Notamacropus eugenii: one gene and its partner. The protein of the gene in region 2 purifies or fractionates together with the protein of the main gene of each other region. This does not show direct contact. Links are inferred from orthologs where the notes say so. Each region holds a gene or a part of one and is shown on either strand. Other genes may lie near its edges.

The links.
Region 1: the proteins of ASB6 (region 2) and RNF7 purify together in Homo sapiens (co-immunoprecipitation; 4 studies listed by BioGRID and IntAct, counting the BioPlex papers as one, with this or other methods). This does not show direct contact. The link is inferred for Notamacropus eugenii from reciprocal best matches to the Homo sapiens genes ASB6 and RNF7.

Annotation. Positions count from the first base shown.
Region 1 is NC_092877.1:330,007,319-330,017,641, reverse strand, and holds the start of RNF7 (RING-box protein 2), read right to left. Parts: upstream 4,829-10,323; 5' UTR 4,577-4,828; coding exon 4,402-4,576; intron 1-4,401. UniProt on the Homo sapiens protein: Catalytic component of multiple cullin-5-RING E3 ubiquitin-protein ligase complexes (ECS complexes), which mediate the ubiquitination and subsequent proteasomal degradation of target proteins.
Region 2 is NC_092872.1:481,160,317-481,171,069, reverse strand, and holds the start of ASB6 (ankyrin repeat and SOCS box protein 6), read left to right. Parts: upstream 1-5,853; 5' UTR 5,854-5,955; intron 5,956-6,085; exon of another isoform or gene 6,086-6,583; intron 6,584-8,575; 5' UTR 8,576-8,645; coding exon 8,646-8,758; intron 8,759-10,038; coding exon 10,039-10,220; exon of another isoform or gene 10,221-10,573; coding exon of another isoform or gene 10,574-10,753. UniProt on the Homo sapiens protein: Probable substrate-recognition component of a SCF-like ECS (Elongin-Cullin-SOCS-box protein) E3 ubiquitin-protein ligase complex which mediates the ubiquitination and subsequent proteasomal degradation of target proteins.

The DNA of each region.
Region 1 (10,323 bases), on a different chromosome or scaffold from region 2:
TGGCGTGGAAAACCTTGAGAACAGGAAAGTAAAGAGAGGGAAGTATTAAGCATTCCAGGTACCACGGAAATGTACTAGCTCCCTGGCTGGGGGAGGATTCCTGGTATGCCTCATTTTAAATTCTCTTTAAGAGAGCCCAGTGTGTACAAAGACTTGAACTTAAGGGTGCTTACCTACTATCACAGATATAGTAGGTTACCTCTGAGTAAACAGCTGTTAATAATAACAATTATTTTGCTAACAATAATTATAATTGCTAGCATTTACACAATGTTTTAAGGGTTGAAAAGTGCTTTACAAATATTACCTTATTTTTTCCCTTCACAACAACCCAGGGAGGTAGGTGCTGTTATTATCCTCTGCATTTTACAGATAAGGAAAATGAGGCGGACAGGGGTTAAGGGACTTGCCCAGAGTCACACAGTAAGTCTCTTAGGCCTGCATTTTAACTCAGGTCTTCCTGACTTCAGGTCCAGCACTCTGGGTTATCTAGCTGCCTCTGTTAAAAAGATTAATGACAAAAGTGTCACCATGAGAAAAAAACACTAGGATCAGGTTCCCTCCTTGAACTATAGCAGTGTGACCTTTAACCCTTAACCTTTCTGGGGGTCCTGATCCATAAAAGAGGGTGGATTAGTTCTCTAAGGATACTCTAGCTCTAAAATTAGATGGGTATTTCAGGCTGCGTCTTCCTGACCAACCCTATCTCCAAATGTTTCCAGCAACAAGCCAGTGTCCTCTCCTCTTTCCATGACACTGGGCTCAGTGTGACAGGTGGTTCCTCCCTCCTCTGCTACACCAACTCCCTGCAGGCTAAGCTCAAGGCTTAGACCTCCACTATTTTTCCCTGACTAGAACTTTTCCCTATGATCTTTACTACAGAAACCATTCACATTTTCTCTCTCCACTAGGAATGTAAAATCTTTAAGGGCCAGAATACTTTGTCTTGTAAAACATGAGCTCAAATACTGTTACTCGCTACCTGTGTGACCTGGAGTTTCTTTGCTTCTGTTTTCAGTATCTCTACCTGTGAAAGAAAGGGGTTAGACAGGTAGAGACTTGGAGGTTCCTTCTACCTTCTAAAGGTACAATTCTTTCTATATCCTTAAGCACACAGATAGGAAACCAGTAGATGCTTAATAACATTTGACTTATGTACATGAAGGAAAAGTTCATGGTTTCTGTAGCTTCAGATATCAAGAAAACAATTTTTGAAATCTGTTTTTGAACCAGGATTTTCTGGGTGATCAGGGAAAGTTTCCTCATCCAAGTACTACATCGTTAGCATTTACAGAGAGCTTAAGGTTTGCAAAGCCCTTTAGATCTCATCTGATTCTCACTACAACTTTATTACTCTACCCCATATTACAGATGAGACAGATCATGTAACCTGCCCAGGATTTCTCAGTCATCTCTGAGGCAGGATATTAACTGAGGTCCAAGCCTCCGTTCACTAGCCACCTAGTTGACTCTCATTTTCATTTGATCCTGTGCCCAGTATTTTGGCTTTTAAAAAGCCATTGTGAAATAAGAGTCTAGGAAGGTCCATTAAATATAAGAGGCATACACCACCTAAATTTCAAGTATAATAGGAAGATACACTTATTGTAATATTAAAATTTCTCCATTGTACTTTATTTAAAATTAAAATTTTGAATATAGCTACCAGAACATTAGATGTGATTCTTAATAAGCTAAAAGGAAGACAAAAAATAGTAGCGAACAGCTTTTAATGCTGAAGGTAGAAAACATTTTCCTGAAAAACAAATATACTATAATTCACATTTATTTTCCTTCTCAATGCTTTTAATAGTTGTTCTATAAAGAGATATAACATTCTACAGATTTTTTTTCCTCAAGATATACTTTGCTGAATAAGGCCACAACTATCCTTTTGTAGAGAAAAGTACATTTAAAACACTAGGCCTATTCTAGGTAGACAAGAAATCCTGGCCTCATGACACTGAAGAAAGATGAAACAAATTAACTCCCCATCTCCTCAGGTCACCTCTGACTCTGCATGAAGAAACTAGGAACCAGGGGGTAAAGTGATGGACGTGTCTAAGGTCATACAACTGGTGTTCTAACCCAGTCTGATACTCTCTTTACTAGGCCACACCTAAAACTCTTGGTACATCTGAAAGCCTATGGCACCTCTTAGATGCCCTCTCACATTCCTCCCCTTTCCTCCTGACTGTAGCACATACATACCACCTCTAGTATTCTCAGTCATGTCCCCCAATACATCATTACTTTGTACAGAAATCCTAAAAGGAACCTTAGGAGCACTCCCCTGCTGGTTCATCCATGTACTCCGCTGGCACAGATAGCATGCCTCTTCTCTCTTTCCTGAATTCCTCTCTTGGTAACTGTGCCACCTTCCTAAATAGCAGGAGTAAAGATTCCAGTGGAGACAGTCAAACCTCTGAGCAAGGATATCACAAGAAATCACTGATAACTGGAATAAATCCCAAAATTTCAGCAATGATGGCCCAGTCTACTCAATGCACATTTTATTCAAATGAGTAATGCACTGTATAGGATACAAAACTTGAACAAAAACTTTCTTCATAAATGCCACCATATCTGGACTTTGTTCCCAAAGACTTGGCTTATATTCGATATCAAAACTCTGAACGAGATCTAATATAAAATCCTACTTTTATCTTTTTAACCATAAAATCTGCCTGAATTTTCATGATGCTCATATCTAACTTAAGTAGGGTATTATTTACTTCTTTATACTTAATGTATTATTAACTGTCAGTCACTTAGTTTGTAGTAATTAGGATCATTAATTAGTAATTTAGGACAGAAGTGGTTTGTTTAAAAAAAAAATGAATCTCTCACTATTATTATTGACTGAATACTCACTGGACTTTAGCAGTCCATAAATAAAAGTCTGTATGTAATATACATTCCAAAATACTTGTAGACTAAGAAAACCTAACTGCTCTAAATCTGTATCAACGTGGTAATTGTGGAATAAGTGTTATAACTAAGATGGTAGAATTACAGCCATTTGAATTCTTATATGCATGCATTGGATACTTCAAGCATGTTTGTTATATAATATCAACTGCCACTATAGGTTTCCACATTTCTATTTAATGTTTGAAGTAATTAATTTGGTAAAAAGAGAAAATTACTTTCTGAATATTAACCCTTCAGAATGCAGGATAGAAGCCGAAAATGTTTTTACTTTCAACAAAATGTAACATTTTAGAGGTCTATTTTCACTTTAAGGATGAACACAATGAATGACACCATGAAAACAAACCTTTAACCTACAAACTGAAATGTTCCTTTTTAAAAAATCAGAACTTCTACTCCTTTACAGTAAGTTTTTTCACAGCTTTACATAAGAAAAATAATACTAGAAATCTTTTAAATAAAATAAATCAAGGTTTTTTTCCCTCTCAACAAAATAACACTACCCAAATTTTAAAATGAGATCGTATTTCTCATGTCAGAGGAAAAATTAAATCATGTCCCTAGCATGAAAAGTAAGAATCAACATTAAGTTGTAACAAAATTCTACAGAAAAAAGATAAAAAACTTAAAATATATATATTTGAATCACTATAAATACTATAAAGTATCCTCAAAATGAAAGGATAAAAGATACAGGATGCTTAAGATAATCCAATATGCTTAAAAATCTCATCCCTTAATTAGAAAATCTTGTCTACAATTTACTTCCCCTCTAATGACTCTAAAACTCATATTTTAGTTCCCAAGTACAGAAGGTTTTATTTTTTAACATGAACCTCTCTTTGCCTCCATTCTTTCTCGTAATTTGTATTTAAACAGCACTCTTCCTAGGAGGGTTGGGAGTAAACGACTTCACCTGCCTGGGCCTCGGGTCTATAAAAAGCAAACGCACGTCCCAACTCGTATCAATCATAGCTTATCGATCACACACGGCACATGATTCCTTTACTCTAAGTGTGATCAAACTCGTCTCGGTGCAGCACGCCGTCCCTGCGGACCGGTCCCCCCACGGCCGGACCAGGCGGGCAGGGGCGCCTCGGGATGGCCGGGCCGGCACCCCCGAGCCCGCGGGTCTGACAGGCGCGGCCGCCGGGGGCGGGGGGCGCTCAGCAGTTTCCCCCACGCGCGGCCCCGTCGGCCACACCCGGCCCAGTCTCACGCCGGCCTGCGGGCCTTCGACAGGAAAGCGCGTCGCTCCCCCACCCCCTCCGTCGGTAGAAGGCCCGGGTGGGCGGGCCTGCGCTCACACGTGCGTGCGTTCGCGCGCTTGCTTGCTTCCTCAGAGGCCCACGGAAGACGTCGGCCCCCCACGGGGGCCGGGGGAGGAGCGCGCGTGCGTGGCCGCGTGGGGGAGGGAGACGCCCCGGAGGCCTCGCGGCAGCCCCGGGCTCGCGTGGCAGCGCTTACCCATCACCTGGACCCGGCAGATGGCGCACGTGTCGCACTCCACGTCCCAGCTCCACATGGCCACAGCGTTCCACTTCTTGAGGGAGAACATCTTGTCGCCTGCGGCCTTGGAGCCCGAGCTGCCCAAGTGCGAGGCCGGCGCGCCAGGCTCCTCTCCGTCCTCCACGTCGGCCATGGCGGCGCGGGCGGGCCCGGCCGGCCGGCGTGGGAGAGGCTTGGGGCGAGCGCGGCGGGGAGCTATGGCGGCGGGGCCAAGCCTCCTCGGGAGAGGCTGCAGCTCCCTCCAGAGGCGGCCGCAGGGAAGAGCCGGCCGACCGTTAGCTACCGAGCCCGCCGCCTACGCCCCCGCGGACGCCGACGTCGACCACGCCGCTGAGCACGCCGACGTCAGCCCCGCCGGCGCGGCGCCGCGGCCCAGGATTGGACGACTCTGCCTGCGCTTGGGTTACGTCACCGGGGCGGAGCTGAACGGGCCCCGCCCCGCCCCCTCCTGCCCTGCGCGTGTCTTCTTGCGCTCACCTTGCCGCGGGTGGTCCTGGGTTCTTGGTCGCCCCTCGAAAGCGCTGCCCTCGGCCGGGCACCGGCAGTCCGCAGCCCTGAGGCCTGATGTGGGCAGGGCCTGGGCCCGGTGCCGAGCTTAATTAAGCCCTGGCCTTCCGAGCCCCCAGTGCTTGAAGTCACTTCGTAAAAGAGGGCAAGGAATCAGCCGAGTAAGGCTCCCTACCCCTGTGCGAGAGCCGAGTTCAAACCCTGCCTCCCGTACTCACGAGCTCCGTGACCTTGGGCCAGGCGCGCCACCACTGGCTGCCTCCGTTTCCCCGTCTGTAAAATAGGAATCACAAAGGCCCTCTCAGCTTCCGGGGCTGCTGCGAGGATCACGTGGGATATTAGGAAAGCACCTGGTACGATGCAGGCACGTATGGGTGATCAATACACTGATTTCCTTCCTCTGCCTAAACTTCTCCACGGTAAGACCTCCCCGAGCCGTCGGGAGGATCCGTTGGAGAATATTTACGTAAATGAAATTAGCAGGTCCTTAACCCGTGCGGCCTCAGCTTCCTCCTCTGCGCGGTGGGGAGGTGCTATCTGCCCAAGTGGAAGGACCCAGCGAGACGAGACGCGTGAAGGGCCGCATAAATACCGGCTGTCCTTCTCGTCTCCTCCCGACTCTCCTGGTGACCTCTTGCCGTCTCCCTGGCAGCCCTCAGCCCGTTAGGGTTTTCTTAAGTCAGCAGTGGGCACAGGGGAGGGAGGGGGAAGGAACATTCCTCACAAAGCTGTATGTGAGTATCAATATCATTTATACGGAATTATTGGGTACCTGTAAGTGCTGGATAGCTGAGGTAGTGCGGAAGATGATCACAGTGGGATTACTTAGAGAATTTGGAGCCCAACCAGACTAAGCCTAAAAAGGTAGTTGCTTATTAATGAGCAGTCTGAAAAAGGAAAGGATAATAGATGGGTTGAAAGAAGGAGGAAAGCTCCTCCAGGCAGGAGTGGCATGTGGTACCACAGTTGGGAGATGGCAGAAATATTCCTGGAAACATTAAATTTGTCCAACTGAAGTGGAAACAGAAGTCTAGGAGGGCTTAGTTATACATTAAAAGTTAAGGGAAAGAAAGAATTTGAGGTATAGTAGTGCCAATTGACAACCATAGGGACTGATTATGATAGATTGAGTTTAAAGAGGGATTGGGAGAAAAGTATGAATTAGACTCATTCAGCATCAGGGGTTTGGGGAGGGATGGACAAAAAGTACAGAATTGGAGATCTTTTGAGAGGTCAGTGCTAAAAATATTGATTGGGAAATCATATTTGAACATGGCCATTATTTATGGTTGTATGTAAGACGAGTCAAATATTTACCAAGTACTCAAAGATGAGCACAGCCCTCACTACATTTGGAACTCATTCATGCAACCACTATTTGTGGGCAGTAAGTATATTCATAGCACACTGGGAGGCACTAAGGGAAATTTTAAAAAAATTAATGTGGCACAGGGACCTCATGGATAAGAAGGATATTGTGCATAATGGCAGCCTCCCTGTATTTGCTTCCATGTCTGAGGTTAAGGAGATGCTGAGTAACTTGTTTATACAGTGTCTTGATCAGATGATGAGGGCAAAGATCCCTCCCATCTACTTTTTGTCCTCCTGACTGGCATTAGTGTGATCTTGTGAGATTTTGCAATCCATGTGGCCCCCTAGAAGCAAGCAATTGGTGTCTGACAGAATGTAGAACCAGTCATGGGTCAAAGGCATGTCAAAGCAGGGGGCTAGCCCAGGATAACAGAGAATGGAGGAGCAATGAGGAACAAAGCTATGATGTGAACCAGCAAACCAAGACTTGTCCTTCACAGGTGCTGTGAGTCATATGAACTGTGCAGGAATGGCGGAAAAGGAGCTTACCCAAATAAGAGTAGAAGGGTTTATTGAATATGCAATACATTATCTTCCCAGTTAAAGATGTTCAGGCTCTGAAACTTAAACCAATGTGCCATCGACCCTTAAATGCAACAGAACGCTCTGTAAGGCTTAGGACATCTTATGGCTACCTACGCACTGATAAGATACTGATACTAGAAATCATTCTTTAACCTCAGTGCTTGTCATTTACTTATTTTTAGTTTTCAACATTCACTTTTATAAAATTCTGATTCTGAATTTCCCCTCCTTCCTAAGACAGCATGCAATTTGATATAGGCTGTATATATACATATATGTATATATACTATATACAATACATACTACCTACACATATGTATACATATACAATATACATTGTATATACATATGTATATACTATATTATACACACATATACAATCATATTAAACACATTTCCACTTTGGTTATGTTGTGAAAGAAGAATCAGATAGAAAGGGAAAAACCATGAGAAATTAAAAGAGAGAGAGAAAGAGAAAATAGTATGCTTCGATCTGATTTCAGACTCCATAGTTCTTTCTCTGGATGTGGATGGTATTTTCCATCATGAACCTCAAAGCTTTTAATCATCTCTAATAAACACCTTGTCACACTTTCCACAGGGGATTTTGCAAACCTCCTTTCGCATCTGGACCCAAAATTTACCCCACTTTTCTCAGCAAATGACCTCACTTTCTATTGTACTGAGAAGAATGTGATCTTCTACTGGGAATTCTATTTACCCCCATCTTTCATATTTTAATACCTCACTATGTCTACCCCTCTTTTACAGAGGATGAAGTATCATAACCCCTTGCTTTTCCTCTTTATATTTTCTCCCTTGGTGAGAGGATCCATTGTCATGATTTCAGGTATCACAGCTATGGGGATGATTCCTAAATCTGTATAACCATTCCTGATTTTTTTTTTTTGAATGATGGTCCAGTATTTCTACCTAGATGTCCTGATATTACCTCAAACTCAGTATGTCCAAACTGAATTTATCATCATCTCTCTAAAACTGGCTCCACTCTATTTGTACTGCTTACTACCCATGGGACCTTAGCCAAAGCTTTCCATTTCCCTAGGTTTCAGTTTCCTCATCTGTAAACTGAGGGCGTTGGAGCAGATAAGCCTTAAAACCTAATCCATCTCTAAATCGTAGGATTAGTCCAGCTTTCCTACTCCTGTTAGTAGCACCGTAGCCTTCCAGTCTCACCCAAGCACAAAACCTGTCATCTTTGACTCTGCCCTAGCCTTCAACCACTTTCCCTACATCCCATCAATTTATAAAACCTGTGCACAAGGTTATTTCTTAACCAAATGTCTACTAGTTGGTTATGTTGTATCTTAGTTGGCTATGTTGTTGCATTGGTCAGGAGGAAGGTATTTGTATTTCTGTACTATGGTGATTTTCCTGTTGTGTTTCTATTAAGAAAAGTACTTTCATCCCTTCAAAAACTCCTTTCACAAGACTTTCCAAGAAAGTAAATATGACCATTTTTGCTCTTTTTCTTCACTTGTCTGTCTTCATTCTTACTCTTTCCTTTTCCATCATCTCTATAAAAAATATTTTTTTATGGGTGAAAAAAGTGTTCTGAAATTTCTTTTCTTTGGAAGACTGGTGGAATTCTCTCTCTCTTTTAAATAAATATTTAAATAATTTTGTTAAATGAATCTAAAATAAATGAATCTCAGCAAAATTGTAACTTTAGGGAGCACAGGGTCAGTTGATATGGGCTGTAAAACCCTCAGGGTGCTTCTCTGCTGCCCCCATAAGAACTGCCAGTAAGATCTGCCCTTTGATCCAAGACTCTATTATCTTCAGCTTATTGACCTACTGGCACCTGAACTCTAATTTAGCTTAAATCTTTCTTCCTGGCAGTTCCTGTTTGATAAACAGACTCTGCTTGAGAACAGTTGATCCCTGGTTGTTTTGACCTGTGACTCTGTGTACAGATCTTTTTGTCTCTGCTTCTTTGCATCTGTTGATAAGTCCCCCTTCTCCCCTTCCTCTCACCCCATTCTCCCTCCCAGGCTCACCACCACCCTAGGCCCATCCCCAGCCAAATGGTTCCTTCCTCTTCTAACTGATCCAGCTTAGTGGGGTATGATGGGTATCCACCAAAACTCAGTTCTTAGCTTTGGTCTTTTTGTCTTTATAATCAGATAATCTTAGATTTAGACCTAGGAAGGGACATTAGAGCTCATCTAGTTCAGTCCCCTCATTTTACAGATGAAGAAACTGAGGTACGGTGAGGTTAAATGACTCGCCTAAAATCGCACTCGGACTAAATCACTTCATCTTTCTGGATCTCAGTTTCCTTATCTGTAAAACAAGCTAGGAGTCTGCAGGCTTCATTATGAACACACTAACCCCATTTCCCTTTTTGACTAGATGACTGTGCCAGTGGATGAGGTGATGTGGATATAGTTTGCCTAGCAAAACTTTGAATAAAGTATCTCATTATAAACACTTTTGTTTGCATTTTGATAACCCTCCACAATCTGATTCAAGCCTACCTTTACTGATGATACATTACTGTTGTTCATGCACTCTTTAGTCTAGCCTGTAGACTGGTCTGCTTACTATCCTTCATATGTAACATTCCACCTCCTGAATCCATGCCTTTTGCCCCATGCCTGGAATACACTTGCTCTTTATCTTTGCCTTATAGAATCCCAAGTTTTCTTCAAGGCTTAACTCAAATTCCATCTCCTACATGAGCCCTTCCCCAATCCCCCAAGTCGCTAGTGCCTTCTCTCCAGAAATTTCTTTGCTTCTTATGTAGTCTGCATTTGCTTTTTTACATGCATATTGTTTCTTTCTAACAAGCTCATTAAGCACAGGGACTATTTCTTTTTCTGTCTCCAGCACTTAGCCCAGCTTCTGGCATGTAGAAGATGCTCAATAAATGTTTATTAAATGAGTTGAATGACCATAAGTTACCATCCAAACCTCTAGCCTTCCACCACCTCCAAACCCAGTGTTATAGCAGGCTTTAAACAGGTGCTTGTTGAATGAATAGCTCTCCTGCTTCTTTCCTGTTCCCTATAGTACCAAACATTGTGCTATGCATGTAGTAAGTGTTCAATAAGTACTTCACAATAGATTTTTATCTTTCTAGGACTGGAACAATTTTTTTATTCAACTTGCTAGAGCCTTGAAATTTCCCAGATTTTCTTTTCCCACCATAGCTATATTCTACCTAGCACAAGAGCCCCTCAAATTCAAAGCAGCATACTATAAGAACAAAGAGATCTCAGCTTATTGAACTTATTCACCATTTTTCAGGAAATCACCTTCATTCCTAGCTCTTCTTTCCCATTTGCTCTGCCTGGACGGGTACTAAGCTCATTCATTTTGCATTTCCTACCCTATGCACAATGCCTTGAACGTAAGAGTCACCTAAGAAATGTTTGATGAATACGCTGTTGCTTGAATTTAATAAAGAAGTGGAGTGGCTAGAAGTTCTCTCCTTTGATGTAGAAGGTGCTT
Region 2 (10,753 bases):
CTTGTGAAGTAGGAGATATTATCATTATAGCCATTTTAAAGATGGGTAAACTGAGGCTTAAGAGAAGGTAAATGGCAGCCCTAGGGAGTTATAAAGAAATATAATAGGTTGGTTCCTGCACTAGAAGACATTATGGTCTTGGGTTCAACATGTATTTCCTGGGAACATACCCCAAATAGTAGAGTGTAAGCCAATGGAAAAATAAGATTCAAATAGTTGAAATTTATTTTAGGTCAGCTTTTTGGTATCTCACACATAAGCATAAAGTAAGTCAGGGTGAGGTAGCAGGAAGCAGAGGAGGCAGAGGAAAAAAGCAGTCTTGAAATAAAATTTTCTTGGCATAACAAGTTCTGGGCTTCCTCTTTTCTCCTTCCAACCCTATCTTTGCCTTGTCCTCAAGCTCATTCCCAAGTGCTGCAGGAGTGATTCATCCTGGCCTCCATCAGAACCAAACATTGGGATACATGTTCTGACAAAGATATGTGACCCTGAGCAGGTCAAATCATCTCTCTGTGCTTCAGACAACCTTCTCAGCGTTGTAAGTTACAGGGAGGTTGTGGTGTCCTTGTTCCTTCTCCTTTTGCCCTCTCCACCATCTATGATTTTACTTATCAGCTTTGCAAAGCTGCCAAAATTGTATACAGTTTTCCTATTGGTGTCCACAGGGAAGGGTTCATGGGATCATCCATTCATTTAACAAACATTCAATAAGGAAGGGCTCTTTGCAGAACAAATTGATGACATATAAGGGCCTCAAAGTGATTGTTAGTCCTGGGCAGAAGGTCTTTCTGAAGCTGGGTGATAAGGGACCACAGACCTAGACTTGGAAGGCCCCTTGGATGCCAACTAGTCCATCCCCCCCTGCCATTTTGTAGATGGGGAAACTGAGGATGAGAATTCATGAAGGGGCCAGCACTCTAGCTGTACCACTAGAAGTGTCAAGAGCCCTTCAGCCCAGTCATCTGTCATCCCGGCTGAGCACATATGATGTTCATGGCTCTAGATGTGTGTCATGTGGGCGAGGGTGTGAATCTCAATGTTTCTTCAGCCTACATTTCTCCATTTTCGGTGACTTATGTATATTTTTATTGCAATGCTTACTGACTTGATTCATTCAGTTACTATTTGCTGAAATATTGGAATTTCCTTGACATTTCAATGGTTTATGGCATAATGGAGAACCAGCACTGAAAGATTCGGTGATTTGCTCCGAGTCATACAATCAGTATGGGTCAGAACAAGATTAAGTAATGCAGTGGATTGAGCGCTGGCCCTGGATTGAGGAGATCCTAAGTTCAAATGTGGCCGAAGATACTAACTAGCAGTGTGAGCTTGGGCAAGTCACTTAACCCTGTTTGCCTCAGTTTCCTCACCTGTTAAATAAGTTGGAGGAGGAAATGGCAAACCAGCATCTTTGACAAGAAGACCCCAAATTGGGTCAGGAATAATTGGTCATGAATGAAAAGAAAACAGCAACAATTTGTAGTTTGTTGATTTCCTAGGTGTCTATGCTCACACTGAAAATTTAAAAACTGGTTCCCCAAGACTATTTTAGCTGACTTCAGCACACTCTTGAGGATCTTTCTAATAATACACCCTCCATAATTATCAGCTGATATCAGTTTATCAGCTAGATTTAATTAGCATTTAGAAAGGCAGATTCTACTAAGGTAGTACAGGAAGAAGAGTAGGAGCACCCTTCCCCAACTCCTTCCTACTCCCCATCCCCCATTCAGTGATAACTACAAAATCCAAAGAAAAGTTGGCCCAAACTTAGGGACTCCATGTGGCAATAGGTAATTCATAAGTCTTTCCCCCTCCTTCCTGAAGTTCCCCACAGGGATGTGAAGCTTTTATTCTGGGTTTCCTCTTGGGGTTCTGAAGCAGCCATCCTTCAGTGTGTCAGGTTTGTCCTAGGCTCTGACATCTACTGTCCCAGGGAGAAGCTTCCAAATCCTCCCTCTCCAAAGTTTGAAAGGGGGAAAGGGAGAAGAGAGAGGCAAAGGCCAATTTTTTTCTCAGTGGTTTATCTGGGATGGCTTCCACCACTAAGCTGCTAGGAGCAGGGAGATTTCTGAATTACCTTGCTAATTTTATAGAAAACCCACAGAGTGTGACTGAATTCCCTCAACTAATTAGAACAGACTTCCTGTCGCACCTCGTTGACATGCCTTTGATTAGCTGATTTCATAGATATATCTAAGTGTTCTTCACATTTATTCACTTTTCTGATTGATTGACTCATTGGAGGTGTTCTCCTCTGACAAAAGTCTCAGGGCTTGGATCTTGTTAGTTACTTTAAGTGTGTGAAAGGATGTGCTAGATGATCAGGGTTAACCCCCATCCTAACACACATTAAGTATTTTACAAACCTTAAATTACTATAGAAATGAAGGTTGTTAGCCTTATTCCATCATGGTGGAGAACCTGCTAAGGTTTAGGCTCAGTTACATGCCACCACCACCACAAGGCATTAGAACAAGGCTTGGACAACACCAGTTTTTCCCAGCTGTGTTTCACATTATCTCTCTTTGTTCCAAACATAGGTGGACTACTGGTTACTCCAGCCTCATGCTACCTCCTGCCACATCACGCATTCAGCTAGGCTCGGAAGGCCTCCCTGTAATCCCTTCTTATTGATATCTTTCCCAGACCCAGCACAAAGTGTTACCTTCTCCAAGTGTCCTCACCCTCCTTGAATTTTTAATAGATCTTTTTTTTTGGTATTCTAATTATTTGTGCAGAGGTCTGATTCCATCTTGTTTGACTCTAAGTTTCAGGAAGGCAGGGAGTATGACCTTTTTTTTAATCTTTCCACTGGTCCAAGGCTACCCAGTGCCAATCACAGGGCCTCACACACCGTAAGAGCTTAATCAATGTTTTTCTGAATAGTTGAGCCCCAGGACTACAATTTTGAAGCCATGCTGCCCCCTTGTGGTTATTGATAATACATTCTCCCTTGCTTGATGAGAACTTTTCTGATTATCCAGAGTGAATCCCCATCCCCTGAAAGCCTTGTTCCGGCTGTGCAATAATGAGGAAAAGTGGAAGAAGAGAGCTTGAGGGCTCTTCGGCCTTTATCCTGCCTCTGAACTCATCCTAGTCACCATAACCATTCATGAACAATGAATGCTCCCATTCCCCTTGCCATACCCTTGGTCCAAGTGTCCTGATCATAGAGAATCCTAGAGCCCAAAGAGCCAGGGAACTTTTTGAGATTAACTGCCAGAGCTAGATGGGACCTCAGAACACAAAATCTTTCTCCTTAGCTTTAATCTTGCATTCAACCACTGTCTACACATCACCACCTAGATTGCCCTTTGGTACTGAGAATTCTACACATCCCAAACCAAATTTACATTCATGGTCCCCTCTAAATTTACCCCTCCTGTCCATTTCTCCTCTAAATTCCGTTGACAATGCTGCCTAATTATGCGGGCTCAAAACCTTAGAATGACTTCTGATCCTTCCCTCCTCCTCCTCCTTCACACCTATCCTCTCTATCTCCAAGTGCTGTAGACAACACCTCACTCTTGCAACTGTCCCCCTTTTCTTCCACTTACATGGCCACCACTGTGGTTTGGGTCCTAATCACCTCTGGCTTGCACTCTAGTAATCATTTTTAAAAATAGATTTTTCTCCAGTCTCTCTGACTTCTGTTTGAGTCATATAAGCCTACCTGAATCTTTCTAAGGCACAGTTGATGTCACTTCCCTCTGAAAAACCTTCAATGGCTCTCTATTGCCCTTGGGATGAAGATATAAACTCTTTAGCCTGACATGTAAGGTCTTCTACAATCCAACCCTAACAAACCTTTCTAACTTCATTTCACAGTACCCCCCTTCACCCAGTCTTTGTATCAATACAGGTGTCCCTCTCATCCCTTCTCATTTTAGACTCAAAATTCTTTTATTGTGGCAGCTCTTTTTGTAGTAACAAAGGAATTGGAAACTAAGGTGTCCATCCATCGGTAAATGACTGGATCAATTTTGATATATGAATACAATAGAATACTATTGGGTCACTAGAAATGATGAAAAGGATAGTTTCAGGAAAACCTGGGAAGACATGTTTGAAATGATGCAGAGAAAAGTGAATAGAACCAGGAAAACAACTTATGCAATAACAACACTGCAAAGACAGACGGCTGAGAAATGCAACAACGTTGTTCAGAGGACTGATGACGAAGAATGCCAGAGGGATGATGGACTCACTATACAGAGGCAATGGGGGTTCAGTGACTTGCCCAGGGTCACACAGCTAGTAAGTATAAAGTGTCTGATGCTGGATTTGAACTCAGATCCTTGTGACTCCAGGGCAGGTGCTCTATCCACTGTGCCACCCAGATTCCCTTAGACACACATTTTTAGACATAGCCAATGCAGGAATTTATTTTTGCTTGATTCAATTTAATTCAATAAACATTCATTAAGTGCCTACTATGTGCCCAGCTGGCACTGTACTAAGCACTGGGGATACAAATAAGAAAAAACAAAGACTGCTTCTGCCTTTGAGGGGCTTATAGCGACAATGTAATCAGGGAAGACAAAAAAGGCTTAGGGGGGAGTTGAAAGGGTGCTTAATTATGATTTTGCATATTTGTCACATATTTCTCTATTTTTATTTTTTTTTCCAATGGAGGGTTGTGGGAGGGACAGACTATAAATGCTGGTTAATTAAACATAATTAAATTGTTGAAAAGGAAAAAAAAAGGAAATTTCTCTTTGTTCTTGATTCACCTTAGGTATCACCTCCTCCACAAAGCCTTCCTTGATTTTTCTAGTTGAAAATGATTGCTCCCTCCTCAAATTTTGGTAGAGAATTTCGAATGGATTTTTCCTACGTCCCAATCATATTCTACCTTATATTCTACTTTATAGGACTATAGATTTTGAGCTAGAAGGGCCCTTTGAGGCTAGCAGGTCCAATCCCCTTATTTTACAGGTGAGGAAACTGAGCCAGCAGAGATTGAATGACTTGACCAGGGTTAAACTTATTTGTACACGTTTCTCATATCCCTGAAGTAACGTGGTACAATGGAAAGTTTGTTTTTGCAGTCAGAAGGCCTGTGTGGAAATGCTGGGGCCTCTGGGGGCAGATCACTTAATGTCTCCGAGTCTCAGTTTTCTCATTTATAAAATGAGAGGATTTGACTAGATGACCTCTAAAGTCTTTCCTAGCTCGCCCTCTGTGGTTCTTGTGTGTAGGTGCCGCCTCATTTTTTCATCTTTTATATCCACACGTCTTACATGGCTCCTGTCTATCATGTTACAGTAGGCTTTATTAAAAGTCGAACACGTTGGATTTTTTGTTGTTTGGGCTCCTTTAACAATTTCCTTATAGGCCAAGGAGGAAAGAAAAGAAAGTAAAAGCTATCCCATCGACTAAACTGCAAAGGCTTTCCTCTTTTAGCTTTTCATCTTGATTTTTTTTAAATTTAGGAGATCCTGTCACATCCCTTTTGAAAACAGACAGGATGTTCCCCATATGTCAAGGATTACAGGTTTCCACCAAAAAACAAATCAAAAACCCAACAAAACCGAAAAACAAAAATAAAACTTTTCTATTGAATGAAGAGAACGTCAGGAGTTAAATGTCACAGTTAAGAAACACTTCAGAGACTATTCTGTGTAGGCCCCTCATTTCACAGATGGGGAAAACTCGGACAGGTAGAGAGGCCAGGGATCTCCAGTTCTCAGCCCAGCCCCATTGCCTAGTCGCGGGAAAGTTCTATCGCGCCCCGCCCCTCCTCGCCCCGCCCCGCCCCGCCCCTCCTCGCCCCGCTTCGCATCACTTCTCGTCGCCCTGTCCTGCCCCTCCGGCCCACAAGGGGGCGCAAGGCGTAGGGATCCCTCCGCTCCAGTACCTTCTGCCGCTTCCGTTCTCTTCCTCCAGACAGCTGCCGTCACCTCCGGTGCCGGGTTCCCTGCAGCTTCGGACGCGGGATCGATGAGGGTGAGCGGGGCCGGCCGCTGGAGCTATGGGGCACCCGGGCAGGCGCAGGGCTGAGGGGCCGGGGTGGTGGCTCGAGCCGGAGTCTCGGGAGGGAAAAGGGCGGAGGGCAGGGCTGGAATCGGGGCCGCCTGGGCCGGGCCGGAGACGCAGCTCCGGCCCATTGCCGCGCGGGTCCTGCCGGCGTCTCCTTGGGGCGCGATCCGAGGGGCCCGGCGTCTCACCCTGCCCTGCATCCCTGACAGGCGGTCATCCGGCCTCGGACTGGGCACCGCCGCCGAGGGGGAGCTCGCTGCTTAGCCCGGCGGCCATTCTCTGCAGGGCAGTGTTAACTCTTAGGAAGTCTTTCCCCCCGGCCGATGGCTGCTCGGCAACCTCCATGGCTGCACCCAGCTCTCCTCAGGGTGAAGCCGAGCCCCGCACTCTCCATCCTGTGCTTGCTGCCTTCTCCAGGGAGCCTCCTGCCCTCCCCTCGTAATAATTGACAGCTCACCTGGAGGGATTTAAAGTTCTGAAAGAAGACAGCCACGTTCTTTGGCTTGAGTCTTCTCCGCGTTTTGTAGATGAGGACACGCAGGCCCAGAGAAGGAAAGCGAATTGCCTAGGTCACAGGGGGAGCTCGTTTGCCCCGGTCAGTACCTTGTCCTCTGACATAGCACAGAGACGGCCTCTTCACCAGCCTGTCCTGTCCTGTGTCCTGAAGACGTGTGTGTGTGTGTGTGTGTGTGTGTGTGTGTGTGTATTCTACCTGAATATTGTTTTGGCGCAGCTATTTTCTAGCTGTGTGGTCTTGGACAGTTCATTGCCAAGAGCTTCAGTTTCTTTTAATGAGATTTCAAGGAAAATATTGTGCAACCTTTAAAACACTATGGAAGGCACAGTGGGAAGGCACTCCCTACCCAAAGTGCTTTGCCATGTGTCTTTAACTTATACGACATAAGTGTAAGAAAGTATATAAATACGTAGGCTTTGCCACTTATTTACGTGATGACTGGAGAAATAACTTCCCCTCTCTGCTTTCAGATGCATGCTTAGTAAATGTTGTTCAGTTGAACTGAACGCAGCCTCTTGGGTGTTTAGGGATCTCAATTCCATACAGCTAGTGTAGATGCAAGCATTTATTTGACATATATTTATGATGCTATGTGTAGAGAGCATTGTATCCCACAGTGGGAAGAGAGGCAGGTAAGATGACATAGTCCTTCATGCCATGGAGGTCACAGTTTGGTAGGGGAATCAAAAATATATTACTATAAGCAGAAATCATACAGAACTATAATGTAGGAAGTACTATATATAAGCAGATTATTGTGTTATATATAAGCATGATATTATATATAAACTTAAGGGAATCACCACGTGTGACTTGAGGTGCCAAGGAGGAAAGATAATGCATTTATGTGGAAGAAGGATTAGACCTGCTCCCCATGGGACCTCTAGAGGGCAGGCCTAGGAGCCAATGGGGTAGAAGTTACTTACAGTGAGGCCGCTTTCTGCATAATCTAAGGAAACCTTGCCAGCAGTGAAGATCTGTACAAAAATGTGCTGGGCTGTCCAAGGAGATCACTGGGAAACATCAAAGAGAAGCCGGATGACCATTTCTTGGGTTGTTGTAGGGGGAATTCCCATTCAGAAATGGGTTAGATTAGATAACATCCAATGTCCCTTTCAACTCAGAGAAAACCTGACTCATGCATTAATTCAGCAAATATTTATTAAGTATCTCTTATGTGACTGTACTGCCCTAGGTGCAGGGGAAGAGACAAAGATGAATTAAACATCATCTCTATTCTCAGGGAACTTATAGCAGTAGTTCTTTTTTAAAAATTATTTTTATTTATTTGATTAAATATTTCCCAGTTAGGGGTAAAAAAAATTTTAACAGTGATATTTAAAATTTTGCGTTCTAAATTCTCTCTTCCCCTCCTTGAGAAAGCAAGTAATTTGATTTCAGTTGTACATGTGAAGTCATGAAAAACATGTTTCCGTTAGCCATGTTAAAAAGAAAACACAAAGTAAAACAAAGTGTTTTTTTTAAAAAGTGTGCTTCAATCTGCATTCAGAGTTCATCAGTTCTCTCTGGAGGTGGACAGCATTTTTCATCATGGGTCCTTTGGAACTGTCTTGGATCGATCATCCAACTAGTAAATGTTGTTTATCAGTGTAGCAGCAGTAGTTCTAATGTCATAGCAGTCCCTGGCACCTTGTCTGTATTGCTGATAGCCTCCTCCCTGAGCCTCACTATCTATAAAACACAGCTATGGAACACTCAGAGGCTTCTTATAGGCTAAAAGATGAGAGTGTTTTCATTTGGGTGGGCTTAAGAGACATTGTGATGTGGATATTACTTCCTGGGCTAGAACTCGGGAGACATGGTTCTGTCACTCTGCTCTGTCAAACATGAACTGTATGATCTTAGGATAGTCACTTGACTTCTCAGGGTCTTAGTTTCTTCAGCAGTAAAATGAGGGTGTTGGACTATAAATGATCCTAAGTTACTGTTCAACTCATAATAGTCTGTGATTCTTTACTTTTTTTATGCACGTCTTATTTTCTGAAGCAATATAGAAATGCTTAGAGACTCCACTAAGGGAATGAACCCAGATCAATCTCTTGATTTCAGAGAAAACCAGCCCTTAACTCTTGCAACTGATGCAAGAGTCTCGTTTGGGAACTCCGACCAAACTGCCACAATGCCCTTTCTGCATGGCTTCCGGAGGATCATTTTTGAGTACCAGCCTTTGGTAGATACAATTTTGGGATCTCTGGGGATACAAGATCCTGACAGACAGGACAGTCTGGAGAGGTAATTACATTTTTTTTCCTCTATGGTTTGTTTAAAGCAGTGAAGGCTACCTGATACTTATGGAAAGTGGAGATACAAGCTTTCTGACAATGAATTCTGTAACTGGGGCAAAGATGAGAGAGCCAGTACCAGTCTTTAGGAAGCAGTGAATCAGGAATCAGGGTACTGTATTCACGGGGTCATAGCCCAGAATTTTAACCAAGACTTTGTGGTTTTAGAGAAACCTACATTTTTGCCTCAGTTTTCTTCCTCCTTGTATCTTGATATCCTCTATCTGTAATAGAGATGAATGGAGATAGTGCCTTTGTATCAGTACATCATATTCAAGTGTGTCTCTGAAGTTGCGTGATCTGGCCATCAAATCTTTTTAACGTGCATCTGAGGAGCAAACCCTTACAGAATACTACGTTAAATCCTTTTGGAAGGGGAAAAGTCACTCCCCTAATATGCCTTCTGTGGCAACCTACATTTTCATGTATTAGATTTACCTGAAAATTGAGGCATAACTATGTCCTATAATGTCCTTTAATGACTAGTATCGTCTCAGCATTTACAGTTTTGGCCAGTGGATGTGCATGAACCTCTGTAGGAAAGTTTCCATATAATTTTTAGGAAACCATTTGTGGCTAAAAAGCTTCCAACTATGTTGGGAAAAAAAACAACTACATACTGTTATAAGGTTTGGATGATCACGAAAGATCCCTTTCACCTCTGACATTCTGTAATTTAGACTTGTTTTAATTTTCATATAAAGGGAGTCTGTTTAGGAAGGAGTGTGTAAAAATAGGGTAGAAAAATAGATTGCCTTTTCATCATTCTGGAATTACTAAGAGCAATGATAGATTGAATTCTTGATACTTGTAGTATTTTTTTAACTTGATATCCCAGCTCCTTGACATTGCTGACCAAATCAGTCCCAAGTGTATAGCTTCACACTGAAGGCATCCCATCAGGCAGTAATCTGAGAAAGCATCCAGAGAAGCCAGTGAGAGGAACCTAGGACTTTGTAAATCTCCAGTATTCAACACTGGCATGAGGTCTCATTCAGCAGATAAATATCATTGTATAAAAAATTGTCAGAAAATTTTTAGAGCTGAGCAAATGATCAAATGGGCAATTTTAGTACAGGACTAAACCATAATACTGAGGCAGGCATTTTTCTTTTTTAACATAGAGCAGGTCTTCAAGAAGGTATTACCCATTCATACCAGATGTCTTATGTTTGGGCCTCATTCCAGTGTGTTCCCTTCTAACCTTCTGGTTTCCTTCCTATGTCTTAGCCCAACTTACCTGGCTGATGATGGAAGTCGGGTCCTTCTTCTCAATGAGCTATTGGAGAGGGAGGCGCATTCCCCCTTTTACCAGGAAGGTGTGAGCTATTCCTTGCTGAAGATGGCAGAGCTTGGGCTGACACATGCGGCTGACACCCTGTTGCAGAATGGAGCTAACCTCAACTTTGAAGGTCAGTTGATTAGTGGTGTTTCATTCTAAAATAGTTTCTCTGACAGCCCTAGTAGGGGCTGAGCAGGCAGCTTAAGAGTGAGATCATACCTTGGTGTAAAGGCCAGGCCTTGGATGTTTCTGGTTTTTTGATTCCTCAGGTGTCACTTTAATTTTTATTGTTTAAGCTCTGAAAGCAGCTTTCAACTTGTGGGCAAATGCCTAATGAGGGGGAGAAGAGGACTTGGCTGAATGCCTCCTCCTCTCTCTGCCTTTTAAATGGTTCTCTTGCCACCTCTGTTCTAGCTGAAGCCTGTCTTTGCTTCAGCTCCTCCTGTGTGATTGATTTAGCAGCCTTTCCCCAAGTCCCCAGTTATGTCGCCTCTCCCATTAACGTTAATGAAAATGTGCCTGCTGGCACTGAGCCCAGGCCTAAGAGAAGATAATTTCTTGCTGCTTTTCTCTGAGCTGTCTTGCAGTTTATTTGTTAATACCGTGTGGAGAGGAGAGCAGATAAGCTGCTTTGGGCATAAATCATGGCACGAAGGCGTTAGT